Linked DNA regions of Alligator mississippiensis. The main gene of each other region encodes a partner of the protein of the gene in region 3 in a complex. Links are inferred from orthologs where the notes say so. Each region holds a gene or a part of one and is shown on either strand. Other genes may lie near its edges. The genes, in order: BRIP1, PHF8 and TOPBP1.

Region 1 (10,581 bases), on a different chromosome or scaffold from region 3:
AGGATTTTGGGGAGTAGTAAAGTCCTTGGCAGCTGCATGAGATCCACTGCTGTTAATGAAGAAAAGAATGAACAGTAATGCAAAGGGAAGACAGAGCTGAAATACACAGATTTATTTAAAGCATATGGACTTGGTTTACAATAGCTTGCGGTTATATTGTTTGATCATATCTTGGGAATGACAACACCAGTAATAAGGGAGCACTTCGTGCATAGAGCTGCCTGTTCCCTTGTCCTGATGTGGTGGTAGACAACCGTTGTTTCATTACAGCAACAGGCTGAGTGCATGTGCACATCTCTTGCTTCACTTTTTTTAAACTTCAAGGCTGCTTGCTTACTACTTTCTTTTTTCTTCTTCCTCCCAGGACAGTGCTGCTGTGCAGATTCTTTTGGAGATCTGCTTACCTACAGATGAGGAGAAAGGTCACAGCAGTAACTCTCACAGCCTGCTAAAGAATATTCAAAGTGCTGCTGGCCCTGGACCCCAGATTCAGGAACTAGAAGAAGAAGAAGACAGTCTGCTGTGTAATCTTCGAGAGGTCCAGTGCCTCATCTGCTGCCTTTTGCACCAAATGTACATTGCGGATCCCAACATAGTTAAACTAGTTCACTTCCAGGTCAGCTTTTCCTTGGCTACCACATTTTTATTTTCTATTCTTGTCCTGAAGGTGATGGCTGGTTAGGGAGCTTGGTGAACTTGAAGGCATGCGAAGCATCACCATAGAGAATTTGGCAAAGCTTATTTAGAGTGGTAATTATCTTACACCCAGCTTTTGGTACCAGTCCAGCTATTTTGGTGCACACTTAGAGCAGTGGCCAAGGGGGGAGCAGGTTGAGGCTCCTTTTGCTCATCACTTAGAACATGCTTGTATGTAGCCAGGTGGAACTGGCATGATAGACAAAGAGATCAATGTGCAGCAAACGGAAGAGAGAGAGAGAGGACAAAAGGTCTGTGGGCCCTTGCAGCCTGCTTTGGTAGATAAGTGGTATTTAACTAATGCACTAAGCCTTGAGGAAAAAAGGCCTGTTCTAGGGTCTGGGTGTGGCATCAGTCCTTCCTGAGCTGGGATCAGACTAGCAACCTACGGTGCTGAATAAAACAGAACTATGAGTAAACCTGTTTAAACCTGTGTGAATGCAGAGCTTCCTTGAAACCAGTGTAATCGCAGTTAAGCTTCTAGTGTGACTTTCTCTGAACATAAGCTTTGTTTTCCTCAAACAGGGTTATCCATGTGAACTTCTAGCACTGACTGTGGCTGGGATTCCATCCATGCACATCTGTCTAGATTTCATACCGGAGCTCATTGCCCAACCTGAACTTGAAAAACAGGTACTCTATGGCTATGTTGTTTGAGATGAACTGCAGCTGTTTAATCCTGGGCTGCAAAACACTGCAGCAGTAGGATGCTGTGGAGACTCCGTTTCCAGTGACATTAAATCCACTGAAGTGTGTTTTATATGTTTATTTGGCAACCGTTTCTAGAAACATTTCAGTGTCGTGTCAGAGCCTTGGTTTGCTTGTCTGTGAAAAGGGAACAACTTACCTGCCAGGTGTTGTGTCCAGATCAATTTTGGATGGAAAAGACAAAGCAGTGATAAGAATGGAATTGTTCACTACCTCTTCCCTTTTGCTCCTTGCAGATCTTTGCCATCCAGCTGCTTTCATATTTATGTATCCAGTACGCGCTACCTAAATCTCTCAGTGTGGCTCGCTTAGCTATCAATGTCATGGGAACGCTGCTGACAGGTAAACATCCAGGCAACGCATTTATGTAAATGTGGTTTAACTTCATACGAATCTAAATGTTCTTAGAACCTCTGTAACTATATTGAGCTCTTTGACTGAAAACACATTAAAGAGTAGATATTCATATTCATACTTGTTTTTCATCTCTGTTAAGCTCGCATCCTAACCCATGAAAGTTTTAAATGGATGTGGTAAGCAGAGGGAAGAAATTTGCCAAACAGGAGCAAAATTGCTTTTATCTCTTCTGAGTTGTTGGTGACTGACATAAATGAAGTAACAATTCAGACTAGCGTCCAGGGAATTGATTTAATAGCAATTAGAAAACAGGAAAGAAACTGACTCTTTATTTTGCTGATTTCAGAGAGGATTCTGGTATATCTTTTAAACGCATCAGGCAGTTGCTTTGAGTAATGTCTGCTACAGTTTTTTTGCCTCGATGATGAAAAATCAAATAAATAAAACCTGAAATGGCTTCTTACGGCCGTTCATGATCACAAATGTAATGACAGCTCTTGATGCTTGGTTTTAATAGTCAGCTCTTTTAAACATTTCCCTTTTTCCATTGCCAGTTTTAACCCAGTCAAAGCGCTTTGCCTTTTTCATGCCGACCCTGCCTTGTTTGGTCTCATTCTGCCAAGCCTTTCCTCCACTGTATGAGGATATTATGTCTCTGCTGATACAAATAGGACAAGTTTGTGCCTCTGACGTTGCCACACAAACAAGAGACTTTGATCCAATTATTACACGTAAGTAATGATATGATCCAAGGCAATGATTTACATCTGTAATGTATTGAAAGTTGAGAGACCAGTTCGAATACACTGTGAAAGTCACCCTCACACATTTGTAAATGGAAAAGTCCTAGGGGTGTGATATATGAAATTTGCCATCATAAGTTTGGCATGAGCAGATTTTTTGGCTTCTAATATAATTTATAGTCCGCATAGGACTTTAAATACCTTCTGTAGGGATAGATTAATTGGGTGTTCTAGTTCTTGGACACAATTGAGCTATAACAGGCTATGTTACATCACTATGTAACACTGCTAGGAATTAAAGCCTGGGAAGTGAAACTTCAGATTTGTATGAGGCTTCAGTTGTGTAACCCCCATTTACTTTCATAAGAAAGGTGCAGTTAAATTCCCACACGGCCATTTGAAAGCATGCCCCATAATGTTTGAGTCTTACTCGGTTCCCCTGTAGCTTATTAAGAAATAGGCAGGCAAGAGTTAGTTCTTAGTAAAATGGACCTTTTGGCTAAAGTGTATTGTCCCACCCATAATCATTCAGTGTCTTAATACGCCACTGAAGATAGCTCGAGTCACCTGGACGGTCAGTTGCCTTGTTTTACTTTGTTTTTTTTTTACTAAGGTATATGTGTAGTTGGTGAGAGACCCCCTCTCTGCCTGCATTTTGTTGTATTATACAAGTTCATCAGGCTTAAAATAAGTATCTCCATTTTCCTCCTTGGAACCTATCCTCCTTGCTGCTTGATGCTCATTTTGACAAAATCCAGATTTATTATTGAAATTGTCCTGAATTCATGAGTGCGTAAAGTCCTGGCTTCATATTTTTTTTCCATCTTCAATCTTTATGCCCCTAGCAGTAGCAGTGGTTTGCTTCCTGCATTTTTGTTAAACAGTGAAGCTTTACAAAATCTCGGGACACTTCAGCTGCCTGAGGTTGTTTTGGGCTTTATGTATAGTGTTGCGTGATTTCAATTCTAGCTGTTTTGGGTACAATGGACTGAAATCAGGCTCACCCTGACGGGGTATGAGCACGTAGCACTTTCACTGGATTTCTAGCAAATATGAAGAAATCTTTCAGAAATTAAAGCAGATTGCTAAATTGCAGGAGGTGAGATGCCTGTACTTCATGTTCCAAAACAATAAAATGCACACGGGCCTTAGTTTATATAGAGGCAGTCTGTATACCGAGGGTTCTGTGTATAGGATCTACTTGTTGGAGTTGGAGAGCCAGATTCTTCTTTTTTCAGCTGCTAATTCATTTGGTCTTGGACAAGTCACTTTCTTTTCTACAGCAAATGTAAGACCCTTTTCAGAGGGGAGCTGTGCATCTTAATCTTTTCCCCTTAAGGCAGTATTAAACCACTGTCCTTTTGACAGGAAAAACAAAACAGTGGAAAATAAATCAAAAGTTAGACGTGTCATATGACATGAGCATGTCTCCAGAAATGCTGCTGGGATTAAATTAGCACATGCCTGGGCTTTAGTCTACTGCATCCCTATCAAAATAGTGATTTTTCATACTTGTGATTTGAAGTCCTGTTCACTCTACACACGTAGTACACAAGTGTTCTCCTCAACAGTGTCATTTTTGTCTAATTCTCCCTAGGTCTCCAGCAACTAAAGGAGAAGCCAAATGAAGTATCAAGACTTGGTAAAGATCCCTCTTACAAAAGTGGTGCAAAGGACATAACAAGCCTGGACCCTGATGTTCAGTTATGCCAGTGCGTGGAAAATACCATAATTGAAATAATTAACATGAGTGTTAGTGGAGTTTAGGGGAGGCAGAAATGCAACAAGCACCATGATGTACAGTATCTAATTGTGGTAACAGCTGCCAAAGTGGAATAGGAATTGGACTGGAACAAGTCATCTCTTGTATTTGTTGGAGTCTGTGTAGATGGTGAGCTGACCCAGTCCAAACAGAAGATTTCTTAGGGAGACCAACATTGCTTTCAGTGAAAGCTCCTGACTATTGAAGTTGCCAAATGACAACTCTTCCAGTGGAGACAGGGTCTGAATTCCAGATGCTTGAATTCTGCAGTGAGGCAGTAATGCACCTACAAGGTCTTCACATGCACTCTTTGCAAAGCAGTTTGCTGAATGAGCCTGATAATGTCTTACCTTGTTGAACCTCCCCACCTTACGCTAAAATGTAAGGTAAGGGAGAGAGCTGCTAGAAAAAGTGAAGCATGTTCATTCAAAGATCCGATTGCAGCGGAGATCTCCAAAGCAAGATGGAATAAACACCCTAAAGAACAGCATGGAGAAGACTGGCATAATTACTGTAAATAGCATGTGTAAATTCACTGTGTGCTAGACAAAGACTGTAAAACTTTTTATGCCTTTTTCAAACTACAGCTGTATGGTTAAGTTCTTAAGAGCGGTTACTTAAAAGTGCATCTCTGCAGCTCCATCAGCTGCTTAGCAAAATTGTCAAGTAAGTTTTGAGTAACTTTTTGAAGAAGTCTTGAACTTGGCATAGAAGTTTCTAAATGAGCCAGTACTATAAAACAACAGAGCACATTCTATTTCAAGAATATTTTTTTTATTTTTATAATGCTGCTCCAGTTCTCTTTAATGCAGAGATGAGAGGAACCAGAAGCAGCAAAAAGAAAAGATCTCGATTTGTTATCGGGCCGGGATGCAAAAGAAACTGAAGCTCAGGAGGCTACAGCGAGGAAAGCTGGGATACACTAGGGAGCTGTATATTTTAGTCAGGGCTCCAAGAAGCACTGTATGATGGAGTGGGACAGCTGTTTGGATGAAATGGTTCAGCTTTGTGGTGCTTGGTCTGCCCAGAACTACTGAAAGCAGCAGGTAGTTCTCGCATCTGAGACCAGTGCAGGGTGAGCCCGGAGGGTTCTGCTGTACTGCCCCGTTGAAGGGCACACGAGGTCCAACTGCTGTGCCAGAGACGAGCCCGGCATTTTTAACACGCTTCTGCTATGAAACCAGTCGTGCTAGGAGGATGCGCTGTTTTAAAATAACTGCATTTGGTGTCGTTAAAATAGTGAGGTGAAATATTTGGGGGGGGTTCTGGTTAAGCAAACCGGTTCTTTCTTATTCACATGCAGAAATAGTCTGATTTACTTAAAGACGCGTGGCCTTCAAATCGTCTTGAGCAGTTTGTCTGTCAAAGGTGCCAGACCAGTACTGCAGAGGAGCGTGTTGCAGGACGCGTGTATAACAGGTGCTGTAGTACGAGCGCCGGTGTTATCCCTGAGCTCGTGGATCAAACCCAGCTCTCCCAACAGGCATGAACACCACGTGCCCCAAACGTGTGCTGTTTGATCATCCTGATGTAAAGCATGTAAATAACCGCCACTGATTCCTCTCTCCCTCTCCCCCTCCTCAGTCGCTTCCCACCGGAGCAAGATTTTACTCGACTTAAAAGCTGAATGGGTTTATAAATGTTGTAATGCAGAACTGGAGAGCTCTTAGTTCAGAGATGATCCCTTTTATTCAGTGCAAAACTCGAGGACTCTTAGTTCAAAAATGATCTCTTTTCTTCAATGCAAAACTCGAACTCTTAGTTCAGAGCTGATCCCTTTTATTCAATGCAGAACTTGAGAACTCTTAATTCAGCCATGATCCCTTTGATTAGACCAATTAAATCCCAAAATTTTGCGATTTTGTAGTTAAGAGAATGATGCCTTGTATTAGATCAACTGAGAAACACACCCCCACCAAAAAATGCTCTTTTTTTTGCAAGCTTTCAGCAGGCTGGGGACTGTCCGTGGTCCTGCTCCTCCTTTCCAAGGCGGGTGTCACGGTCCCTCTCCACCTACCTCCGTCCGGAGGGGCTTGTCGCCACGTGGCTCCAGGAGAGGCGCGGACTGGCGAGGCCGGCAGGCGAGCACTGCCATGAGCCGCCCGGCCTGGGGGAGGCGCTGTGGGCTCGGGGTGGGGGGAAGTGACATCACAATGCGTGTGGGCCCGTCTCACTACCTTACTGACCACAGAGAACGGGGGAATGGGCTAAAGTCCAAAACAGGCCTCGTTGCCGCGGCAACCGGAGGGGCTCCAGCCACGCAGCACGGCCCTCAGCGATTGGCCCAGGCGGGCGCGGCTGCGGTTTGGCTGCGCGGGGCTCCTTCCTGTCAGCTGTGATTGGCCGGCGCGGCGGGAAGGCTCCGAGCGCGGGGGGGGGGGGTCGCTCCTGAGGTAACTGACGCGCCGGCGGCGGGGGGGGGGACAAAATGGCGGCGGGTCTTCACCCCACCTGGGGCTCGCTGTGGGGGGCCTGCGCAACCTCCACCGGTCACCAGAAGCCGTTGGTGGGGGTGAAGCCCCCAGGGCCGGCCCGAAGCCCGCGTGCCAGGACAGCCACCCCTGCTCCGAAATACAGCAGCGCTGGGAAGACCAGGAGGGATGTTTCTCCGCATTATTATTATTATTATTACCTTTAACGCTCCGTCGTTGCCGCGCAGCAGAGATGCGGGGCGGCAAATTTCCCCAAACGGAAAGTTTCCCGTCGCTTTTATTCGTGTTTCCCATGGGAAATTTCCGAAACGTCCCCGCTTTTTAAAAAAAAAAAAAATGTGGGGAACGTCCCGCTTCTAAAAATTCAGCGTTTCATCAAAGGCAATCGGGCCTCGTCGTAGAGACGGCGTCTTGTATGACACCAACCGGGGTTTTTTTTACAAATGAATAAATAATTTAATTGGGAGAAATGGGCACAAACGCCCTCCGCGAGGCATTGCAGAAAAGACTGTAACCCTTGTCCTGGGTGGGAACGAAAGTCCCCGTTTCGTAGGATTTCACAGAGGAGTCGAGAGGTGGAAACTCGTCCGGGCGTAGCTTGTTTCGTACAATTAATTAGCAACAACGAACGGATGCCCGTGCGATACGAGGCAAGCTTGGCAGTTTCAAAGTTGTAACTTACAACATTTAAGCCACCTTCAGTGTGCTGTATTTAATCTGTTTCCCCCTAATCGGATATTTCAAATACTTGTGGCTATCGGGACATATAAAAGTAACATGGGGGGTACTTTTCTTTAGTTTTTAGTTTACTAAACAGAAGTCCAATAAACGTGCTAAATCACATCGTGCTGTAATGCCAGAAAATTGTCCGATTCACCGTTTTCCAGAAAACCCACGTCTCTGCTGTGAAGACGGAAAGCTGGTCTAGAAGGTGTTCTCACGGCCGGGCTCGTGGCAGGGTTGATGTCGTAGGACTCGAGCCATAGACCTCAGGGCTCGGGGGTACAAAAGGTCCCAGCGTCCTTTTTGCAATCGTTAGGATGCTCATACTGGCCCAAGTCCGTTCTGTGCAACTATTCCCCAATTTCTGCGTACAGCGCTGTAATAATATTTGCTTAATTTGCTGAAAAGTCATCCACAAATTCACAGACGTTTAGGGCTGGAAGAGGGACCTGGTGAAATTATTGACTTTAGGCAGGAAAAGCTGCTGTTACTGTTACTACTATCCAATAGTAATAACGCGGGACACATTTGAAATGGTCACCATATATCTCATCGTGGTCCTTACCCTGAACCACGTCTTTCCGACGTCACCTCAGCAGTTTGTATTCGGTTTTGCTTGGTGCCTTATGTTGCGCTGAGGCCGAACTTGTCAACGTTTGCTTTCATCTTTCTCACAGGTATAAATCTGAGCTAAACAAGTAGGGGGGAAAACCTGACCATGTCTTCTGACATATCAGAATATACCATTGGTGGCATAAAGATCCTCTTTCCTTGCAAAGCTTACCCGTCCCAGCTTGCTATGATGAATGCAGTAAGTAGAGTTACCTTTAAGTTCCTCAATTTAATTGTACCATTGTTTTGAACCTCTGTTACACTAACCTGTTGTATTCCAAGCCTCCAATATTTCATGCATTTTAGTATCGATACAAGCAATTACTTGACACATTTCCCCATGTTTCATTCTGTGTTTGTACCACAGCTAGGACCGTGGTGCCCAGGTCTGTAACTAGGGCTTCCAGTGGCAAATAAATAACAAAGCCCAGCTATATCTTGAAGTAGTAGACTGAATTAATAGACAATATCAGCCTAGTTAGGTTCTGTTTTTTTCAGAGTGGATGCTGTATCTGTTACATAATAATCAATTTTAATAATCAAAATATCAAGGGGAAACATTTGACCTGCCACTGTACTGCACTGTCTTTATTCTGTTCTGTAAAAACTTGGCGTGATCAGGTATTGTTACTAAAAGGTAAGTGGTTAGAAATGCTTTCTGAATCACTATTGAACCCTGTTCCCAAGTATAGTGCTGCTGGCATGGGTGACTGGTGCCTCTTGGCTCTGGGCAGGCACCAGTGGCCAATTGCTGACCGGGGGCAGTGGGGGCGCTGCCCCAGCGGCCGATCACCAACCCCGGAAACACTGGCAGCAAACCAGAAGTGCTGCCAGTGCTTCTCGTGGGGCGGGGGGGCCGGCAGTGGTTGATGCTTCCCAGTTCCTGGCCAGCGAGGGCCAGTTTCAGGGCGGGGGCTTGTGCCCCCCCATGCCCTCCCTACACGTCACCTATGACTGCTGGGGAGGTTTTCACAGATTCACAGAAGTGTAGGTCTGGAAGAGACCTTGTGAGATCATCGGGTCCAGCCCTACCTGCTCTGGGCAGGGAAGACAGCTGGGGTCAAATAACCCCAGCAAGGTGTGTATCCAGACTCCTTTTGAAGATCTCCAGGGTAGGTGCCTGCACCACCCGCATGGGGAGTCTATTCCAGAGTCTGCTCACATGAAGTGTGAAGAAGTTTTTATTTCTATCTAGCCTGAAACATTTTTCTAGGAGTTTATGACCATTGCTCCTGGTTTTCCCCTGGGGCATTTTGGTGAATAGTTGTTCACCTAGCCCCCGATGCTTACCCCTGATTATATATTTTAAGCTGCCACCAAATCCCCCCAAGGTCTTCTCTTTTCTAGGCTGAACAGTCCCATATCTGTCAGCCTTTCCTTGTATGGCTTGCTCTTCAGGCCTCTAATCATAAAAGTGGCTCTTCTCTGGACTCTCTCAAGCTTCTCCACAGTTTATCAGTAGCGAGAGAAAGAGCTAAGGTATGCTGACCACCTGCCGTTACTGAAGATCCATTAGTATTTTTTCCAAGAGGGTAAAGGACTGGGTCAAACTACTTTCAGCCAACCAAAAAAATTCCCTGTGGTTTCAGCTGGATTTTTTTCCGCCTGTTCTCTCTTACTCGCTGTTTAGGTTTACTACACTTCGCTGGTGGGATGTAATAAATATGATATAAGTATCTAGACCCAGAAAGGCAACACACAAACTTGCACGTCAACTTTTTTTTTCTTACAGATTGTAAAGGGGTTAAATTCTAGGCAGCACTGTTTGCTGGAGAGCCCTACAGGAAGTGGTAAAAGTTTAGCCTTGCTTTGTTCTGCATTGTCATGGCAGCAATCTTTATATGGTAAGTTCTTTTATAAAGTCATTCCTCTCAGTGTTTCTTTTTTTGTGTGTCTCGTTTTGTTTTTTGAAACAAGAACTGACTTTGTTAATAAATTTGGTCTTTTGGTAACCTCCAGCATCTGTTTCAGGAATGGACCTGCTTCCTTGCCCTTACTTAAAATCCTTTCTCTCCTGGTTAGGCTGGTGGTTAGTTATAATTCAGACTATCTGTTGACTTGTGGGTTTCATGTCACTGAATGGGTAGAGTTTCTGCAAGTGACTTATCCATTGTGTATCCAGTGACTAAGTTGGAACCAAGACAAAATTTACTGTTAACTGATTCAATCTAGAGTTTTGAGAGAGTCTAATTCTATTTTTGGCATTACCATTTTTTAAGACAAGGTGAATAACCTGCTTTTGGTTCATTTGTAGAGAAGTCATTGGATGAGTCTCCATGTGAAAAGGAGTGCAAAAAGCCAGAGACCCCATTGCCATGTCTCTGCAGATGCCATTCTCAGCCAGGAACAAATGACACCAGTGCGGATGTGAACCAAGGTGCTTCTTGTTCCTTCAATAACTGTAAAACTGCAGGTTCTGTTGGGAGTGAGACGCCATCCAGCAACAAAGGTAACTGTTAAGTAGTCTTCTGTTTTATGGGGCTGGCTATCTTGTATATAGCTATTCAAGTTGTAGGTCCTACAGTTGCATAATACCCAAGCAGCCAGG
Region 2 (10,159 bases), on a different chromosome or scaffold from region 3:
AGATAGAAAGCTATATATGTAGATTTGTAAAAATATACATACGGAGATATACCATACATTAGAGATATAGATATAGAGAGAGATGGGTGTGCATGTGTATTCTAAATAAATACAAATAATGATAGTAAAGCATAAATAATGCTTCATAAAGAACATAATGTGGTAATAAGCAAATAGCTAAAAATAATAGTGATACATAATACAATTTATTAATGTAAAATAATGTAATGGTAAGTAAATTAAAGATTAGTGATAACGAATAAACAATGAAACTTTATTAGCATAGTGTAACAATACAATACTGATATGTGATAGCAATATATAAATAATGATGTTTTATTAGTGTAATATAATACTAAGTTATAAAAATAAGTGATAGTGATGTATAAAATAAATAAGGCAGCTTTATTAGCATAATGATAATATAATGCTAAGTTAATATAAGAGATACAGTTGGGATACATAAATGACAAAGCTTTATTAACATAATATGGTCATTAATATAATGCTAAGTAAATAAAAAATGACAGTGATAAAGCATAAAATAAATAGTGAAGGTTTATTAGCATTATGCTAAATAATATTATTCTAAATAAAAATAACTGATAGTGGTCGTGTCTACACATGCAATTAATATGAAGCAATAAACCCTGGAGCTTATTGCATAAGAGTTTATTGCTCTTGGGTGTGCCATTTGAACGTGTTCTTGGGACTGCTGCAGGTTGAGCTGGGTTGGCCCAGCACCAGCTGGCAGCGGCCCAGGGGTCAGCTTGCCAGCCTGGGGCTGCTCCCCCCTGGTTCAATGGGCTGCAGAAGAGCTGGCTGGAGTACAAGAGTGCTCCCAGAGCAGGGCTAGCTGGCAGGCAGCCCTCTCATTGAAGCACCCTCATGCCCCAGCCAGCCAGGGCAGCATCTATACATGCACTGCTGCAGAGTAAAAAAAAAAACAAAAAAAATCTGCAGCAGGATAGTACTTATATTTACAAGACTTTCCTGCTGAGGAGTAAATTAATTTACTCCAGCCTAATAGGGGCATACCTGTAGACACGCTATGTTTACTGAGGCAGTAAACATCTTGTGTAGGCATGCCTGGTACAGTAAAAGCTCTCTTATCTGGCATCCTCTGGGCATGGGGGATACCAGATAACAAAATGTGCCTGGCTGCCGCTTCTCCCGCCACATCCCTCCGCCCTGCTGTCCCTCCCGCAGCATTGCCATCTCTCCCACGTGCCCTGTGGGCCCTGTGGGATGAGGAGGCGGGCCCTGCACAGCCCCACACAGCCTGTTATGCCCCCAGGCCATGGGGGCTCAGAGAAACTGGAAGTGCCACAGTGGGCACTTCTGGTTTCACTTTTCCTTACAAGCCAACATGCTGGTTAACAGAGCATGACAGCTTGTAAGGTGCCAGTTACCAGAGAGTTTACTGTAATATGTAAAATAGATAATGAAGGTTTATTAGCGTAGTATGGTAATTAATATAACACTAAGTAAGTTAACATAAAAAGTAAGGCATAGAATACATAATAAAGCTTTAATAAAACATAATATAATAATATATGATATGCCAAGTAAATACATGAAAATAAATAACAGGAATATATACACACACACACAGAGTAAAGAAAAATGCAGCTTTATTAAAATAATCAATGGGCCCTTTCTCGTTATTGGAGAAAAAACATGCTAATTAACCATAATAATCCCTATGGACTATTATACATTTTTAAATGGCTTTTAATTCTTTTGTTAATTCTTCTGGACCTTAAAGAAGAGTTATCCAGAAGGAATCGGATTCATTATGAATTTGGTCTCCTTGCATTTTCTTGTTTGTCACATTTAATATTCATCCCAATTAGAAGCATTGTTGGCCAGTGGTATTCCCCTCTTCCTTACCTCTCTAATTAGAAGAGGCAGGTTCCAAGAGATGACTCTTTGGATTGTTTGAAGCAATTGTTATTAATGACTTGTGCTTCTTATCATTAGAATAATGATTGGGAATCAACCTAATTAATTAACCCTAATATTACAGGTATTAAGGATCCTTGTTTATTATTCAGCATCCCCAGTTGAAAGCCTTTTTGAGTGTGTATCTCATTATGCATATATGCATTAATCCTGGCAGTGACCTTACTGCATTGTTAGTCTCAGTTAATTCATTAGGCATAGTTAGTCTATTTATAATGGCTTATATTTGATTCTTCTTAATGTTAATGATGATTATTTAATTACTTGACTATTGTGAAAAACCTATAGGGGATGGAAAGCTGTCATAATTAGTCATTGCTAATTACCAAGGATCCTGGTTTTCTCTGATTAAGAAATAGCAAATTCTCTGATTAAAAACCCTGGAATCCTCATTCTTCTGTGATTAAAACAAAACATCACTATATATTTAGGTATGTTTTATTGATGCATTGTTTTATTGATACATTTACAATTTTAAAGCAATTTGGAAGCCTACCAGTGCCTCAATCCCTATAGTAAAATAAATTCTAAATACCTATACATTTAGCCCTACCTATGCCATTGTCCCTCACTCCTAAACCACAGCCCCCAACCCTACTTGTGCCCCTCACATCCTATCCACAGCACCCTGCCAGAGGGGGACAGGGAAGGTTTGAAATCCCACCCTTGCTTATAGAGCAAGTACTATATTTATGTGTCTACTACACATCTCTTTCCCTCCCCACTCAGCCAAGAAAATGCCTTGTGGGTAAGACGGACTTTGAATCTGGGTTCCTCATTAAGTTGTAGCTCGCCGACCCCCCCCCCCCCCCCCCCAGTTTCCCATCTTGGGTTTTGGGTAAAGCGGGGAGCATGGTATGCTAAGAAATAACGGTAGGGGCAGGGGTTGGCCATGCAGGAGTGGGAGTTGCCCACGTCAGGCTGGGTGGCTGTGGCCAAAAGAGTTGGCAGCGTGTGTTGTATAATTATTCTTCAGCTGGATCTTCCAAGGGCTTCTTCTGATAGAAGATCCAGCATCAGAAAAACTAACAGTTGATTCTGATGGATCTTCTGATGGTTCCTTTGGATGATTCTGTGGATGGTCCTTGTGATTAGTTCTTCTGATGATGGATCTTTCAGTGGTTCCTTGTGGTGGATCTTCTGATAATGGATATTCCAATGGATCTGATGGTTTCTTCCAACAGTTCCTTCTGATGTTTTTCTGATGATGGATCTTTCTGACAGTTCCAGCTGGCTCCTCCACTGATTCCTCCAATTGTTCTTCTGATGGTTCTTCAGATATTTCTGCTCAGCAGCTGGGTGGATTCTCCATCCCCCGGGTATCCTTTGGCCAAGAGGTGGCTCTTCCCTGCTGCTGCCTTTTGAGTCCATGGCAAAGGAACTGGTGTCTCTGACAAAGTGAATCTAGCTAAACCCTGCCCCCCCCCCCCCTTCCTCTGCTGGCAAGGTGTTCTTTTGACCCCCTTGGCTCGTCTTCTTGGGGGATCATGACCTGGAGCCAATTCCAGCACTCAGCTGCTGGCAATATCCCAGCATTTGCTTCTGGCTGGGACCCAGGCATCCTGTGCTTCCCCACCACACTGGGAAAGAATCCTGCCCATGCAGGGATTCCCTGTCCTGGGGTTTAGGAGGTGGGGGGCGGAAGGGGGTGAATAGTAGCTGGTCAGGGGGATCTCTGCTGTCAGAGGATGGAGATGGGGCTGTCAGCTGGGGTTCAGGAAGCTGGGGCTGTTATTCGTGTCCCAGACTGATCTCACTGGGAGTGAGTTGGTCTGTTTTGGGGGGTTTGATGTTAGAAGTTTAAAACTTGGGGCATGAAATGTGTCCATAGCCTGCCTCAGGTGGTCAATGGATCCATCCATCCTCAGCTGCCCCCTCTGTCTGTCTAGCCTCATGGATGTCCTTTATCCAGCTAGACAGACAGATGTCCCCATGCACCTCATCCATTCATCCAGCTAACTATCCATCCTCACACACACCCTTTGGTCTGTCTAGCTACCCACACTCTAATGTATCTGTCCATCCATTTGTCCACCCATGCTCTTTATCCAGTTGTGTATCTATCCCCAAACCATCTGTCTATCACAACACACCCTTTATCTATTCATCTGCCTAGCTATTCCCAGACCATTCATCCCCATACACCCTGTATCCTACACACCCTCTATATATCCATCTGTCTAGCTATCTCCACACCACCTATCCATCCCCACACCATCTATCCCCACACACTCTTTATCAATCTACCCATTCATCCCCACACACCCTATTGACCACCCCTACACACTCTTTATCCAGCTGCCTTATCTCTACCCATACATATCATCCATCTATCTGTCCTCACACGCTACTTTGTCTGTCTAGCTAGCTGTGTACACATCATCCAGCAGTTCCCACACACTCGCTGTCTATCCATCCCTGCACACCCTTTATCTATCTGCCTAGCTATACCCACACACCTCATCCATCCATGCATTCTACACCCTTTATCTTTCCATCTGTTTTTAGCTATCCCCACACCGTTCATCCACCCACCCGTGCCCAGGCCCATTCTCCCCCCTCCTCTTCCTGGCATCTACCCCTTGCCTGTTGCCCAGACCTCTTCCTTCAGACGCCATTTTTCTGCTACCCAGATACAGCCCCCCCCCTTGACACCCCTATGCTCAGCCCCCTCTCCCCCCAGCATGTCTAGCACTGGCTTTTAGGCTGGGTTTTTGTTTTTTTCCCCCCAAAAGCTCTGTGCACACCAAAGCCTCTCTCTTACTCCCTGGGAAAGTCTGAGCCTAGGCACCACAATCTGCGCTTGAGGCTCGAGGAGAATCCACACTGTGCCCCCAGAAGAGCTGGATGGACCAGTCGGAATAAAAGTTTATTCTTTTAGCTGTCAGCGCCTAGTGGTGTCCCTTCTGCGTGGGGGTGGGGTGGGGGGGTGGATGCCTGGGTTCTTTCCCAGCTGTGGGAGCGGAGGGTGCGGGGGTACCCCGGTCACTTGAGTTCTCCTGGCTGTGGGGGGGCGGGGCGGGACGCTTGAGTTCGCTCCCGGCTATGGGAGGGGGAGTGCGGTGAATAGGAACTGTGACGCCAGGGCTCTTTCCCACCGAGGGGAGGGGAGGGGGTTGGTTCTAGTGGATTAGGATTGCGTTGGTGGTGGGAGCTGGATGCCTGGGTTCTAGCTCCCTCCCCCATTCAGGGAAAGCAGATGGAATCTCCCCCACCCCCAAAATGGCCAGGATGTCACTCTCAACATGGCACCTACAGGCCCCGCCCAGATGGTGCCTTCTCGCTGGTAACGACAGGCAAGCACCAGTCAAGGTAGCCGCCTTGCTCCCCCTTTCCCGCCCTCCCCAAGATGGCGGCGCCGGTGACTTTTCAAGCGGGGCTGCGGCCACTCTCAAGATAGCACCTTCAGCCTGCCCCCCAATCGTTGGCTGTCTTCCATAGCGGAGCACCCGCCGTCTCCCTTGGCTTGTCCACCATCTCAAGATAGCTGCCGCCCGTTGGCTTGCTTCACCTGCCACTCCCAAGATGGCTGCCCCGTCGTTTTCCCTGCCACTCTCAAGATAGCAGTCGCCCTTGGCCTGGCTGAGGTTCCACTCTCAAAATGGCCGGCACTTCTTAGGCCCTACCCTGCCACTCCCAAGGTGGCCGCTCCCACTAAATCCGCCTCCCCCGCCCCTCTCAAGATGCTTCCCAGAACCTCCTCAAGATGGCGGCGTCGCTAATTCCCACCCCCCACCCGCTATTGACCTCCCCAACATGGCGGCGGCTCCTCCTCCCGCTCTCTCTTCCTCCTTCCCCACCTTTTCCGTGCTTTGAATAAACTTTATTGAGCGGCCAGAGCCCGAGCAGCCGCTGGGGCCGAGCAGGGACCGCGCCGGGAACCCCCCACGCGAGGCGGAGGAGGAGAGGCGGCCGCGTGGGGGGTGGGAAGAGGCCATATCTCCCCCAGCTTCCACGCGCGCGGAGAGGGACGAGATCTCCCCCCCCGCCACGCACGCCCTGTGGGGAGGTGGTAACCCCCCTCAGGGGAGACGGGCGAGAACCCTTCCCCCCCTTAAGGAGAGGGAGTGGGAGAGGAGCCGGGGGGGCAGTTGTGGACTTTCTCCCTCTTTCTGAGGGGAGTTGGGGTCGGGTTGAGCCCCTGTGGGGAGGGGGGGAGGGGTTGAAGGGCAGCTGAGGGGGGGCTTTGGGCCCCCAATGTATTTTTTTGGGGGGTGGGGGGCAGTAAGGTGAGGTGAGTGGAGAGACAGGGGTATTGGGGCAGGAGGGTGTCTGTGGGTATCAGGGTATCTGAGGGGGTATCTGTGAGGGGACGGGGTCACTCAAGTGCAGGGGGTGTTGGGGGGTATTTGTGAGGGGAGGGGGCAGGGGGTCACTGGGGGGTTGGGATATCAGGGGCACCCAGGGACAGGGCAGGCCCCCCCCATCCCTGCCCCCTCCCCCACAGTCCCAACTTCAGGGCCGCCATGGCCTCAGTGCCTGTATACTGCCTCTGCCGCCTGCCCTATGATGTGACCCGCTTCATGATTGAGTGTGATGCCTGCCAGGATTGGTTCCATGGCAGGTCTGGACCCGGGGCAGTTATGGGGGTGGGGAAAGAGGTGGGGGCCATTATGGGGGTACGGAGTTGCCCCAGGACTGTTCTCCAGTAAGCTTTATGCTTGGCCATTCCCCCTGCTCCACCCCAGAGCTGGATGCATCATGGTACCATGGAGAACCCAGGCTGGTGGGACAGGAGCAGGGGTTTGGTTGTCTCTTGACACAGGGGTGGTGGGCATTGGGACAGGGTAGAGGACCCCAATTCAGGGGTTCTTGCCTGGGTAAGGTGGGGGCAATGGGGCAGGGAAAGGGGGCTGTGGGGAGACTATAGGGTGGGGCAGAGGGCTATGGTGGTGCTATGGAGGGGGGGAGGGGCTGTGTGGCAGAGAAAGGAGCCAGGAGTATGGGGGGGGGTGCAGAGGAGCTATAGAGGGCCATGGGGCAGGGAAAGGGGGGAGCCTGAGGGGACCCCAAGTTGAGGGTGGGTGGGTGTTGCAGGGGTGGCCCATCTAAGGGTGGGGTCTGATTTGGGACTGGGGCCTGCAGACAATTAACTCTGTGCATCCCACAGCTGTGTGGGGGTGGAGGAGGACATGGCGGCTGAGATTGACCTCTACCATTGTCCCAATTGCCAGGTGCTGCATGGACCCTCTGTCAGTGAGTAGTAACACCCCCCTGCTGCTGGGTGGGGGTGGCAAGGAGGTCTCTGGGGGTGGGAGGGAATCTGTTCTGCTTCCCCCACCAGCCAGCTGCATCTCAGCCTTCCTCATGCAGTGTTATGTTGTGCCATTCCTCGAAGATGCCACACCAGAACTGGCTGCAACTTGTGGCCAGCAAGCATTTCCTGTGCAGCATTATACTCAGCCAGTTTTGGGTTGCTCCATCCCAGGGCTGGCTGCCTTTCAATGCTGTAGAAGCTGTTTTTGTGATGTTATACATTGCTGTTTTCATCTCAAAGCTGGTGGCATTCTTATATCATTCTAATACAGTGCTATATGTAGTCATTCCTTAGCTGTTTCTCCCCCAAGCTAGTTGCATCTTAGTTCCATTTGGCACCTCTGAGGTGGCATTATACTTAGCTGTTCCCCAGCTGCCCCACCCCAGACCTGCTTGCATTTCAGTACTAGCAAGTCCTTTTTATGCAGTGTTATACTCAGCCATTTTTGGGCTGCTCCAGCGTAACACTGGTTGCTTCTCAGTGCTGTAGGAGCTCTTGTGATGTTCATGCGTACATTCCCCAACCCCAGAGCTGGTTGCATTTCACTGCCAGCAAACCCTTTCTGTATAGTGTTGCTCTCAGTACTTGCATCCATTTTAGGCTGCTTCACCCCAGCACTGGCTGCTTTTTTAGTGCTGTAGGAGCTCTTGTGATATTATATGTGGCTGTTTCCACGTCAAAGCTGGTGACATTTTTGTTTTGTCTCTATGTGGGGTTATATATTGTTGTTTCCTAGTTGTTTCTTTATAGAGCTGGCTGCACTTTGGTTCCTTTGGATGCACCTAGCATGGCATTTATACCTAATCATTCCCTGGCTGCTCCACCCTAGAGCTGTCTGCATCTCAGTCCTCCCTGTATGGTGTTATACTCAGCTGTTTCCCACCTGCCCCACCCCAGAGCTGGCTGCATCTAAGTGCCAGGTGATATTTCCCATGGGGAATTAGCCATTCCACAGCCACCCCACTTCAGAGCTGGCTGCATTTCAGCCTTACCCATGACCGTTATGCTCAGCTGTTCCCCAGTTGCCCCATCATAGAGCTGGCTGCATCTTGGTGACAGGTTGATGTGCCCAGGCGGCATTATACTCGTGTGTTCCTCAGCTGCCTCTCCACAGAGCTGGCTGCATACCAGCTCTGACCCTCTTTTGTTGCAGTGAAGCGACGTCGTGGCCCCCAGAGGCAGCCAGATGGGACGCTGGGCAGAGATGCTGGCCGGGCTGTGCGCACAGGCAGCGCGCAGTTCATCAAAGAGCTGCGGAGCCGGACCTTTCCCAGGTGAGGAGTGCAGGGGCAGTGGTGGGGTGACAGGGAGGGCTGAGGGGTGGGATTATACTCAGCTACTCCCAAGCTGCTCTACTCCAGAGCTGGCTGCATTTTGGTGCTCTCTATGTGGCGTTATACTCAGCTGTTTCTCAGCTGTCCTACCCCAGAGCTGGCTGCATTTTAGCATTTCCTTTGAGATATTATATTAAGCTACTTTCCACAAGAGCTGGTTGCATCTTAGTTCTTCTTGCATGGTGTTATACTCAGCTGCTCCCCAGCCACCCCACACCCCACCAGAACCAGCCATATCTCAGACTTCCTCATGTGGTGTTATGCTCAGCCATTTCTTAGCTGCTTCACCCCAGAACTGGCCGCATGTTGGTGCTGTGTGTTCCTTCCCTTGTACTGTTACATGCAGATGTTCCCCAGGCACCCCACCCCAGAGTTGGCTGCTACTTGGTGCCAAGCTAATGCTCTGCAAGCAGTGTTATATGCAGCAGTTTTTCTTTTGTTGCATCACAGAACTGGTTGCATACTGGTGCTAGGCAAGCTCTTCCTATGTGGTGTTATATGAAGTCTTTCCCCAGCCACCCCACCCCAGAGCTGGCTGCATCTCTCCCTCCCCTGTGCAATGCTATACTCAGATGGTCTCCAGCCACCACGCCTCAGAACTGGTTGCATTTCAGTTGTCTTTGTAGGGTTTTATACTTGGCTGTTACACCTCAGAACTTGGTGCATCTTGGCTCTTTTTGTGTGCTGTTATACTCAGCTGTTCCACTCCAGAACTGGCTGTATCTCAGCCTTCCCCATGTACTATTATCCTCAGCCAGCCACCTCCACCCCAGAGCTGGCTGCATCTCAGCCCCTTCCTGTGTGGTGCTATATTCAGATGTTCCTCAGGCACCCTACCCTAGAGCTAGCTGCGGAGTGCTGACGCCTGCCCTTCCTCCCCACACCTCCTCTCCACTCCTTCCTGCAGTGCTGATGAGATCCTGCTGCGGCCGAGTGGGTCACAGCTGACCGTTGAGTACCTGGAGGAGAACAGCTTCAGCGTCCCCATCCTGGTGGCCAAGAAGGATGGGCTGGGCATGACCCTGCCTCCTCCCACCTTCACCGCCCACGACATTGAGCACTATGTGGGTACGGACCTGCGGGGTGGGTGGAAGGGGGTTGGCAATATGGACTGTGGACTGGGAGGGGCTGGCTGTATGGCTTTGGGTGGGGGAAGGGGCTGGGCCCTGGGTCTATGGACTGAGAGAGGGGGTGGGCCTTAGCTGTATGGACACGTGCTCTGGCCATATGGACTAGGGAGGGCTGGGTCCTGCCTGTACAGCCTGGTGGGGGCTGGGCCCTGGTTGTGTGGACCAGGGAGCCCTGGCTTTATGGTATGGGAGGGTTAGGTCCTGGCTGTATGGACCAGGGAGGGTAGAGGGTTGGCTTTATAGACCAGGAGTTGGGAGAGTTATAGCTGTACAGATCATTGGGGGACCCTGGCAGTATGGACCAGGAAGAGCTGACTGTTGATTAATGGGGCTGGGCCCTAGCCATATGGACAGGGAGGGGATTGGGCCCTGGATGCAGTCTGGGAAAGGGCTAAATGGACGGGGTGGGGGTGGTGCTGGGTCCTGGCATCATGGACTAGCATGGGGTTGGATCCTAATTGTATGGACCAGGA
Region 3 (10,730 bases):
CCCAAGACACTAAAGGTCTTCTATTATGCTTTATGTTCAAATGTGGCATGTTTGCTTGTAGGCCTTGCTGAAATATATACTGCTTACACAAAAGCTTTGCTAAAGCATTTGCCAGAGTAGGTTTAACTAGCAAACCTGATTGATGCATGAACTCATTATGTGAGCAAAACTTGATATGTGGATAGTCCAGTGCTTATATGACCTTCAGGAAATCGTTGCCTCTTTATGAGGCATATAAGAAAATGGGACTGATGCTTAACATTTAGAAAATTCCTCCATCAATAGCTCTTACTGAGCAGTCCCCAGCTGTGGTAATTCAGATTTATGGTGAGACTCTGGAGAACATTGAAAATTTCTCATACTTCAGAAGTCATCTATTACAGAAGTCTGACATTGACGAAGAAATCCAGCATCTCCTTAAAAGTGCAAGTGCCGCCTTCAGACGCCTGAGGAAATGGGTATTCGAAGATCATGACATGAGATTCAAAACTAAGCTCATGGTTTATCAAGCAGTCGTGATCCCCACTTTACTGTACAGAGCTGAGATGTGGACAATGTACAGGAGTCACCCCAAGTTGCTGGAGAAGTACCTTCAGTGCTGCCTACAGAAGATCCTTCAAATCCAGTGGGAAGAGAGATGCATCAACATTAGTGTCCTCTCACAAGGAAACACCACAAGTATCAAGGCAATGATCATCTGACATCAGCTTTACTGCATGGGCCAAGCCATCTAGATGTCTGTGGCAAAGTGGGACTCCCCGCCTAGCCTCAGTGCTAGGTTCTCCACTTGCCTTTGGGCACACCACCCACCTGACTCGCCTGCCATGCCTTGTTCTTAATTAATTAAGATGTTAATTAAGGTGGGAGGCTGCCCATTCTTGCCCTGATGCCAGGGGGCGCTATCTGCGGCTCCGTACCTCCCTACACCACAGCCCATGCCTTGTAGATGGCATCCAGATGACACAGTGCTCCCGGCCTACAGCCGGACCAAGCTTAGGCCTTGTCATCAGGCCTCAGTCACACACACATTCATACTGCCCTCCTCTCACTAGGGCCTCACACACACTACAACCTTTCTCACAGAGTCTCTTTCATGCGTTGACAACTTATTCTGCCTTGCTCCCTCTTAGAGTGGGCCCCTTAGGCCATAGGCTTAGCTAGTCCATTCCTTGGGTGGCAGTAATACCGTGTTTTGGGCCTCTCTCGCAACCCTCACCGGGGTAGCGGCCAGCCAATTACTTGACCAAGTCTAAGCTTGCTCTAGCCCCTTCCAGGGCAACCCTATATATCGACATGTACTGGGCCCTCAGCCCTCTGGTTCTTCTCCCCCCCCCCCAACTGTGGTACCTCATCTCTGCCTCCTTTCTGGTGCTACCCCTCAACATGGCGTTTTTATCCAACACCACAACTGGTGCTCCAGGGTCTCACGGGGACCCTCACTCCCCCCCTGGAGCAGCAGGTCATTGGGCTCACTATAGGTCTTGCTTTTGACCAACACTCAGCCTCCCAGTGGTGGAGGACTTACCGGGGTCAGGTCTCGCCCCTCTCTCTCAGGCTGAGCCCCCCTTTACTCAGCCTCCGGCCCAAACTACAGCCTCAGACATCTAGAGACATACCTTGGCCTATTCCCCCTTCACTCAGGGCTCCACACCACCCCCTTCACTCAGGGCCAAGGAGCTTCCCTGCCCGGTGGGCTCAGGTGGCCACAGCCATACCTGGCCCCAACTGCCTCTGGTGTTACACAAACCCACCTGAAGGTGAGGACTAGGGTTAAGGCGCCCCTACCCGCCTTTCACCAGGGTGGTAATGGGCCTGGCATTTCCTGGAGGCTCCCACACCACCAGGCCACCCACTCCTGGCAGGTCATGCCCAGGACCAGGAGTCTCCAAACCATCCCCTACAGCTCCTCCCTTACCTCCAGAATGATACATGAAGCCTTGCAGCCAGATGATATTGCTGCCAGCAGGGAGCTGATCTATTTATATAGGCAGCCAGGGATCTAAAATGGCTGCCACAGTCAAGCACCTGCTGGCAGCTTGGCTCAGGTCTTAAAGTGACAGGCACCACCAATGCCCTGCCACACACCTCTCCCCTTAAAATGCTACCTGGGGGAGGTTTCCCCTGCTGCTCCTCCAAAGCAGGCTCCCCTCAGAGCCTGTGAGAACCCTAATGTGGTGAGCACCCCAAAGGTGCTCTGCCACAATGTCCAAGTCCAGATCCCTGAAGCAAGTTTTATTCTCCCAGCTCAGTCAAGATGTACATTCAAGAGAATGGAAGAGAAAGCATTTCAAGGATGTCTTCAAGGCCACTTTAAAAAAAAATGTAACATCAACATCAACTTGTGGGAGACTATCATCCAGGACTGCCCCAAATGGAGGAAGAGTCTGTTGCAAGAATCTTAGTACTTTGAAACCTTACAAGAACAACAGGAGATGGAAAAGCAGGACTGGCAGAAACAGCGTATTGTGGATCAAATCAGGAATCCAGAGCCACCCACTCCATACGGAAATATGTTCCCAAGTTGCAACAGAGTCTGTCTATCCCAGATCAGTCTCATTAGCCATCTGCAAACCCACAGATAAAGCAATCATGGAAGACAATCATCCTCAACTGCAAGGGTTTGCCAGTGATGAAGACTAGAACCGGAACACCCAGGTCAGGATGTGAAACTATCCAATGGTACAGGGCGTTTTGAGACATTTAAGATACAGATGGAATGCAGTATGTAATCTGTTTTGATCATTGTATGAAAGGTAGCAGTGTGCGAAGCGGGCCGTATTCGATTCAGATTTGGCCTGATTCAGGGGACAGTGATTTGATTAGTTGATTTGGATCACTGTCCCAATTCAATTTGGCCAAATCCAAATCTGAAGATTTGATGCTGATTCAGAGAATCAGCGTTTTGGCCATAGACACAGCTTTAAATGTTTTTTCTACATACCTCGAGGTACCAGGCACGGCTCATGAACGCTGAGATGGTGGGGTGGATGAAGTGTACTTCCGGCTCACTTCTGGGTCCTTCGCTGAGTGCATGGGAGACCCCCCTCTGCACTCCCTGGCTCGGTAATCGGCTGCGGGGGGACCCAAGTGCCCCCCCTAGACCCAGGAGGCACCAGTTGCCGAGCTGGGGGGTGGAGGGAGGGTCCCCTGCATGCTCTACAGTAGACCCGGAAGTGGACTGGAAGTGCTTCTGGTCCACTTCAGGGTCTACCACTGAGTGTGCTGGGGACCCCCCACGCTCCTGTGGGATGCGTCATCCACACTAGCATCTCAGCATTCACGAGCTGCTTGGTACCTTGAGGTATATAGAAAAATATTTAAAGCTGCGTCTATGTCCAAATCATCAAATCTCTCTGAATCAATTCGGAGAGATTAAAGGGTCTCCTGATTTGATTCAGATTCAGGCAACGAATCAGGCTGAATCGAATCAGTGACGGAAGCTTCGCAGAGCCCTAATAAAAGGAGGGTTGGAAAGTATGGGAACTTCATAGAGGCCTAGGGGAGCCTGCATGGTATCATGCCAACTACCCTGTAACAGGTACAAATGCTTTAACTCCTGGTCCGATGTATTTGTTAGGTCAAAATGTCTTAGGGCCATGCCTGTAGATAATAAACCTGGCCAAATCTTTGTCATTGAATGGCACCTGTGGTCCTTTAAGGCACGATGGTGTTGGGATCTCCAGGCTGTGACTTTGCTAACACTGCAGTTCCTGAGGCTTCAACACTGACAACACACCAATAACACCTCACAAGGTCAACAGTGATGACAATTGGTAACACTTTATCTGATGCAGTCCCTTTCAGGGGGGAGGGGTAGGACATAATTTATCATGGCATCATCCTGTCATGATGCAAACCCATACCTTGATGGCTTGTGTTCCTTTGTGTAGTATTTTTAGCTGGTATCCTTAGCTATAGCTTCCATTTCACCAGGAGCAGACAGAAAGTGATTAAAAAAAAAAAAAAAAAAAAAAGACATTGCAGACCACATGTGAGCTGCAAATGCTGGAGTACAAGACTCACGGCATCTCTAGCTCTGCGTTTCATGTACAGGTAAGTGTTGGGAACATTATTCTAAATGTTCATGACAGTTTGTAGGGTCCCAAATGATCCTTGGGAAATTCCAGTAGCTGAAAAGAAACATTTTGACTGATTTGTGTAACCCGGGTGGTACTCCAAGAGGTACCCCCTCTCCAATTGAAGGGATCAAAGCAGGTGCACAAGCACTGTGGGAGGTGTAGGGACTCTCCTCCCCCTATAGAGCAGAGCCAGACCACCAATGGGGACTTAACCATATACCTTTTAATGAGGGAACAATACTGGGAACATAACAGGCATAAATCAGGGGGTGTAGTGGGGCCCCCTGGGGGGTAGGATTCAACAAAGGTTAGACACTTACAATCGTTGACAAAAGACAGTGTTAACAAAACATAAAACACAAACAGCAGAGCAAACTATACTGGTTGGTGAAATATAAAAGAGGCACAAAATGTCAAATGACAAGGAAATACAGGGCCTAGGTACCTGGAAGTAGAGAAAGGGGGAAAGCACAATGGTCTCTTTCAACTGCAGGATTTGCTTCTTGTTAGCTCGCTTACCCCAGTTGGGACTTGAATTCAGAGCTCCCATGTGGTAGGCAGAAATGCTGCCACACAGCCACTACTGATAGCACTACTTTAAGCTGCTAGGGGTCTTGACCTTCCCAGAGCCCAGGCCTCATGTCAAGCTGCCTGGCCTCCACTTGGAGGAGCCAGAAGCAGAGCTGGGAACCTCTCAGGTTGCTGCTCAGATCCTTGCTGAAGTGGGGGAGCCCCTCCTGCTGGCCACAGCCTCTCATAGGGGATCCTGGAGCCCAGTAGGAAGCCTCTCCTGCCAGCTGCACACCATGCTGCTGAGGGTCCAAATGCTGCCTGCAGGTCCCATTCCTTCAGGTGCTTCTGGGGCAACTGCTCCCACCCCACTGGCCCAACTCTTGCCAGCTCTTTGAAGCACCTTCCTCATGGTCCCTCACTGGTCTCTTCCCAGAGTCAGCTGTGCTGCCCCTTTTATCCCCCTCCAAGTGACCCAAGGGGTCAATCAGGGGACAGGGAGGGTGAGTCTCTGGGGCTTGATTGGTGAGGAAATCCCAAGTCCTCCAATCATCTTTTTTCCTTTCAAAACCCCTGGGCTAAGTCACTACCAGCCAGCCCATCGCACTTGATTTGTCAAACCTGTTTTAACCCCGAGCACTGGTGTTTCAGGACACTGAATCAGTGCTGTGAGTAGAACTGAAACTTGCTAGAATTCACTTGCCAGGTGGCTCTTCCTTTGTATGACAAAAAAAGTGACCACGTTTATCTTTGTGCGCTTTGTTTCTGTCAATCCGGGAGCTCTTGGCCATCAGAGACAGTACCAGGGATCACTATGTGGAAGTGGCTCGCCCCCATCTCCTGCCAGGTGGTGATAAGGAATGAGACTGTTTCTCTGCTCTCCTGGAGTTTTCAGCCTTACCGAGCAAATGCTTTTGTGTTTTGCCGCTGGGGTTCCCATGTTAGCTTGGGCAGGTTAGGATGCTGTCAGGAATCACTGCAGACTTAGGTAGGGTTTAGATGAGTGGTTCTCAACCTTTTTTTGTACCGGGACCCATTTGTAAGCATCAATAGCCAGTCCCAACCCCACACTCCTGCCCCGCTGCCCCCCACCCCTAGTGGGGCAGGAGGTGGGTGTGTGGGGCATGGGGGGCAGCCCGCAAGGGAAAACCCACTGTTTTCCACATTTTTCTCCTTTGAAGGAGAATTCATTATTGGCCACAACCCTTCCATAGCTTCTTGCAACCCACTTCTGGGTCACCCCCCAGAGATTGAGAAAGGCTGGTTTAGACTATGATTACAGTATTGCCAACTCCCATAATTTTTGGTGTTCTAAAAGTTTACACTTCATTGTAAACCACCTGGGATGGTTTGGACAAGGCTGACTCTAGCTCAGGCAGGTGATCAGACTAGATGACCTCTGCAGGTCCTTTCCAGCCAGATCCCCACAGGGCTGAGACGCAGACAGGACCGTGAGAGGGCAGCGAGAGACCTTGCTCTGGTACCAGGGACAGGGAGGGCAGATCTAGGGAGGCTTCCCCCGCAGCTCGCCCGCCGCAGCGACCGGGGCTCCAGGGTCCCCGAGCTGCCCATAGACTACCGCCCCCCTCCCGGGCGCTGATTGAACACAGCTCCTCTACAGCCCCCCCCCCGCACAGAACAAGGGAGCACACTAAGGCCCCACCCCCTCCCCGGGAACGTCACGAGACGCCCCTGCGCACGCGCACTCCAAGCCGGCAGACGTTTGAAAGCAAATCCGGAACCGGGGGGGAGGGGTCACGTGACAAGGGAAAGCGCCCAATCGCGTGTACGAGCGTCTGGGGGGTGCGCGTGCGCCGTGCGACGCTGCTAGGTTTTCCCGCCAGCCGGGGAGGGACGCGGCGGAGCGCGGGGAGCTGCTAGCACCAGCACCAGCCCGGTCTGGTCCGGTGGGTGAGGGGGGGCCGCCGCACCCGTTTGTCCTCCCCCGCCCCGAGGTCGGAACGGGGGCAGAGGCCGCGCCGCGCTCCGGGACCCTACTGGCCTGGCGCGCGGGGGGCGGGGCTTGCGCCACGCCGCCCCAGGGGTTGAGACCGGCAGCGCCGAGCACCTGCGAGTGTGATGGAGATGAGCAACCAACTGGGGGTGCTGAGCCCTCTCCTCTGCTGCCTCCTGCCCCGCCACGGCCTGCTCTTAGCAGGGCGGGCTGTATTTGTTGCTTGGTGGGCCATGCCCCCTCAGAAAGAGCACCCCAGGTTGTTGCCTCCAAAAATTCTTGCCTCCCTGGACCACTTCATGTCTAAAGAAGTGGTCCTGAACTGAGGTGGACTTATGGTGGACCCTCAGGGTAGGCACAATGTGGCCCCTGCCCCGGATAGGCTTTTGGCTCCCCCCCAGCTCACAGCTGCCCCCAGCAAATGCCAGCTCTTCATTCTCACCCCTTTCTTTCCTGCAGAGTAATACCAGCAAGGCTTATCTGTTGCAAAGAACCCAGGAAGAGCACGCCTGCCTCTGGGCTCCTATTGGAAATCTTTGGGTTTATCTCATGAGTTGCACTTACAACCCTCGCAGTGTTGATGTTGTGTCTACCCCCCTCCTCTTCCCTGATGGCACCCTTGAAAGGACCTCAGGACACCTCCTGGTGTCAAGTGCCACCCTGCCCCCACTTCTGCCCTTTAAGGGAGTGGTTTTTCAGCCTCAGGTGGGGCAAGGAATGCGGTGCATAGGTTCTTGCTTGGGAACTGTGGGCTTCTCTGGTGAAGTACTAAATACAATGTTATTTTTTCTTGCTTAGAGTGAAGTGCTCTGGGGAGAAAGAAGGAGTGAACACCAGGATTGGGGGCTTAGTCGCACACTTCGGGAAAGCGCAGTTGAGTAAATTACTGCATCTAAGAGAGCCCTGTTAAAGGAGTAGAGGTGTGCACCTAAAAAAAGAGGTCCATGGAAAGGTAAACTAGCCTGGGATTGTATTATCCTTCCATCATTAGCTCTTCATGATTGTTGCAGAGGACAATGGGCAGCCACCAGCAAGAAGCTTGGCCACCCATAGGTGGGAGAAGGATCTGGCCAGCCTGCAGCTGTACACAGCTGACACATCTCTGGGCAGGTGCTGCTGAAGGGCTCCCTTTGATGGAGACCGAGGGTCTTTTTCCTTCTTTTGTTCCAGTTCTTGGGAATCTGTGTTGTGTGTGTTTGGGGGAAGGGGAGAACAGCTTGCTGCCTGTCTCGGCAGGGATGTTGGGGCAAGGTGGGGTGAATCTCCTTTGCGGGTGATGTGGGTCTGTAGTGGGGAAGGGTAGGTAGGAAGTGGGTTGCATTGGAAAGAGATTTTTGTATCTTGATGTGAAAAGTGCTTGCCATACAGAAGCACTCACTACATGGCCCTGTCAGATTCCAGCAAATCTGCAAATTCTGTTAAATGTCTTGTCACAAGGATGCAATAAAGGAAAGGAGTGGTGGGTGGAGAGTGTGATTGGGATTGGCAGGAGGGTTTGTTCGTGTAGGGATTTGGGCAGGAAGGTGGTGGTTTCAGGGAGTGGGGTCGGAATTCTTGGGTTTTAGCAAATCCTGTCTGTGGGTTGTCTGTTTATTGCCAGCTGCTCTTAGCTTTTCGGATAGGGTGGGATACAGCTTTTCCTTGCTTTTAGGGTTCTGTATGTGCGAATTCTCTCTTATGTGATGTCCCTTTTTATACCAAAAATCTGTTATACACGAGGTAAATTCACTCGTAGGTGATCGCTGTGGTGGAAGCCCACAGTCAGCTGCTTTGTGTGGTGCATTGTGGGAGTGACACGCACCAAAATATAGTCTCCTGTGTAGATATGAGCTTCTCGCTTGTTGTCTGCAATATGTTTCTGTAGTTGCCATCACTATTATGGTAATTTTCACCACCACCCTGTGCTTGTGTGTAATGTTGGTGAGTACCAAAATTGTCTTGTAAAAGTTGTAGAAAGAGGTCTGGGGGTCAGTACAGTTGAGTTCTTGGAACGTATCCCTATTTGTTACATTGTAAAGTGGGTTCCGTTTATGGGAATTCAAGTTTTCCAGGAACACATGTACAGCATGAAGCAAGAGAAACCTGTATAAATCTTATAAACTAACAAACCACCCTTTCCTTAGTGCTAGTTTTAGTACCCACAGAGAGTTTTACCAGTGGATAGGAAACAAATGATTATTCCAAGGTGTGTATAAGTTCTCTTTCACTCATTTTGCATTAGAGTGGAAGATGAATTGAAGAGATGAAGTTCTATAGTTACTGGTATAATGTGGGAGCTAATTAGAAACATGCTACATGGGAATAACTTGCTCTTATGGGGTAAATAATTAAAAAATGTCAGAAAAAGACCTTTGTTTCTATGGAAAGGTAAATTCTGTCAGTTGCATCTCATGATTTGCCTTGAAAGTGTAATATAGTTTTTTTGAAACATGGAATATAACACTGAAAAATCTTTTGTTTTCTCCATCAGTTAAAGGATGAAAAGTGACAAGGAGCCTTTTTTTGTGAAATTTATAAAGTCTTCTGGAAATTCTGAATATTTTTTTAAAGCTCTTGAGGTAAGCACGTTAGCTAGTTTTACTAGCTATAATCCTGACTTCAGTTTTCTGTCTCACACTTTCATGCTTATTTGTAAATTCTAAACATCAATAAAAGAGATTGTCTTTATATGAGGAAGGCAGTTAGCATTAGGTAGAACTACAGTTGTGTAATTTTTTTCCTGTTAAAAGGAGTAGTGTTTTGTCGGTTTCATACTTCACCTAATTGTAGTGGGTGAATTCAACTTTGATATGGTAGAAAGATCTTTATAGTGAAATCATAGGTTTTTCACAAAATAGTTTTCAAGGTGAGACTGGTTCAGTGAGCTATGCTTTACCTCCTGAAAGGAAATGAAACACTCAAAACTTTGGGTCTAATTTTGTAAATGATTGCTGCCAAGTATGATGCATAGTACTGTGGCATTTCTTTTTGACTGAATAAGCTTAAGTCCCCAAAGAATAAAGCATTACACAAGATTTGAATGAACCTTTGAATAAGTGCTGTGCTTTGGTGGCCAGCATTTGACAGATTGGGCCCATTGACTGTCTGGGGAGAATACTCTTTAATTCACACTGCAGAGTGAATTGCAGCCTTGAGGGTTTTGGAGTAGGGATGGCCAACCCATGGCATGTGTGCCGTAAGTAGCATGGTCAGCCTGTGTGTGTGGCATGCAGCCAATCAGCAAGGAACACAGCAGTAGATTGGGCAGGGAGGAGGAGAGTAACAGATTAGGTGGAGAGCACAGGGCAGGGAGCAGAAGGCAGAGCAAAAGATCAGGCAAGGGAAAGGGATCAGCGTGTCACTTGGAGGGTTTGGATGTTACTTTATGGCATTCCTGCCAAAATGTTTGGCGCTCAGTAGGGTTTGGAGGGTCTTTCAGGATAGTCCTGTACCCATTGTACGATAGATACAGCAAGGAGAGTGTCAATTCCTTTTCCCTTGGATAGTCAGTGGGAGGTGAAGATGCTCAGTACCTTGTAGGATCGGGACCTATCTGTTCAAGTTTGTGTACTGTCCATTTCAACTTATACAGTATGCTGGTTATTGATGAATATACAATGGGACTTTTGTATGGTAATTTTACTAGAAGCCGTTTCAGCTGCATATGGTCTGTAGTTCCCATGGAATTCACTTTAAAGAATTATTCATCAGTGAAAGAGGAACTTGAAAGCTAAGGAAATTTAAGTGTATTCTTATTGTTTCATGTTTTCTTGCAGTCCATAAAAGAATTTCAGTCAGAAGAATATCTCCAGATTCTTGAAGAAGCAGCTGCACTTGATATAAAAGAGAATGACCAGTCCCTTTATATCTGTGACCCATTTAGTGGCATTGTTTTTAATCATCTCAAAAAGGTTTGCACCCCACCTTTCTACTCACAAGTATCCTGTTCCTTGGGACACTCATAATCCTGCCATGTGTCTCTTTTCTGCATTCTGTGGGCTACATAGCGAATATTTTTAAATGCTGGATATTCCCAATTAGAATTTCAGAGAGATATAGCAAAGGGTAGCAATACATGAGGGGAAAAACAAAGGAATCAGTACTCTGGCCAAGCTGGCATTTTTTTTCTCCGGGTTCTGTGGGAGTCTGCAGCAATGACTTGAAGCCACTTTTATGTTTCAGCCAAAGAGAGCTGGTCTAACTGAGCC

Evidence for each region.
Region 1: the proteins of TOPBP1 (region 3) and BRIP1 are in contact, whole or in part, in a crystal structure (PDB 3AL3), measured with the Homo sapiens proteins. The link is inferred for Alligator mississippiensis from reciprocal best matches to the Homo sapiens genes TOPBP1 and BRIP1. Residues at the interface, in NP_008958.2 of Homo sapiens: Leu1272, Ser1273, Ser1274, Leu1275, Asn1276, Pro1277, Arg1280, Gln1298, His1311, Leu1313, Arg1314, Asn1315, Glu1316, Lys1317, Leu1319, Gln1366, Arg1407, Gly1410, Phe1411, Leu1414, Thr1466, Glu1467, Ile1469, Ala1470; in NP_114432.2 of Homo sapiens: Ser1129, Tyr1131, Phe1132, Thr1133, Pro1134, Glu1135, Leu1136, Tyr1137, Asp1138.
Region 2: the proteins of TOPBP1 (region 3) and PHF8 are in contact, whole or in part, in a crystal structure (PDB 7CMZ), measured with the Homo sapiens proteins. The link is inferred for Alligator mississippiensis from reciprocal best matches to the Homo sapiens genes TOPBP1 and PHF8. Residues at the interface, in NP_008958.2 of Homo sapiens: Gln1298, Cys1299, Arg1314, Asn1315, Glu1316, Leu1319, Arg1369, Ser1406, Arg1407, Gly1410, Phe1411, Arg1413, Leu1414, Arg1465, Thr1466, Glu1467, Ala1470, Asp1471, Gln1475, Asn1483, Tyr1484; in NP_001171825.1 of Homo sapiens: Gly842, Ala843, Cys844, Phe845, Asp847, Ala848, Tyr850, Ile851, Tyr852, Pro853, Ser854, Leu855, Glu856.

The regions. Positions count from the first base shown.
Region 1 is NC_081837.1:3,860,303-3,870,883, forward strand, and holds the start of BRIP1 (Fanconi anemia group J protein), read left to right. Parts: upstream 1-6,699; 5' UTR 6,700-7,348; exon of another isoform or gene 7,349-8,098; 5' UTR 8,099-8,139; coding exon 8,140-8,232; intron 8,233-9,765; coding exon 9,766-9,877; intron 9,878-10,287; coding exon 10,288-10,482; intron 10,483-10,581. Other genes in the region: INTS2 (integrator complex subunit 2), read left to right, coding at 365-616, 1,222-1,329, 1,641-1,746, 2,316-2,492, 4,102-4,271. UniProt on the Homo sapiens protein: DNA-dependent ATPase and 5'-3' DNA helicase required for the maintenance of chromosomal stability. Acts late in the Fanconi anemia pathway, after FANCD2 ubiquitination.
Region 2 is NC_081831.1:28,025,871-28,036,029, forward strand, and holds the start of PHF8 (histone lysine demethylase PHF8), read left to right. Parts: upstream 1-6,303; 5' UTR 6,304-6,431; coding exon 6,432-6,529; intron 6,530-7,075; coding exon 7,076-7,161; intron 7,162-8,375; coding exon 8,376-8,496; intron 8,497-9,463; coding exon 9,464-9,624; intron 9,625-10,159. UniProt on the Homo sapiens protein: Histone lysine demethylase with selectivity for the di- and monomethyl states that plays a key role cell cycle progression, rDNA transcription and brain development.
Region 3 is NC_081828.1:137,604,682-137,615,411, forward strand, and holds the start of TOPBP1 (DNA topoisomerase 2-binding protein 1), read left to right. Parts: upstream 1-6,388; 5' UTR 6,389-6,496; intron 6,497-7,341; 5' UTR 7,342-7,416; exon of another isoform or gene 7,417-7,495; intron 7,496-8,085; exon of another isoform or gene 8,086-8,463; intron 8,464-9,013; 5' UTR 9,014-9,020; coding exon 9,021-9,101; intron 9,102-10,298; coding exon 10,299-10,433; intron 10,434-10,730. UniProt on the Homo sapiens protein: Scaffold protein that acts as a key protein-protein adapter in DNA replication and DNA repair. Composed of multiple BRCT domains, which specifically recognize and bind phosphorylated proteins, bringing proteins together into functional combinations.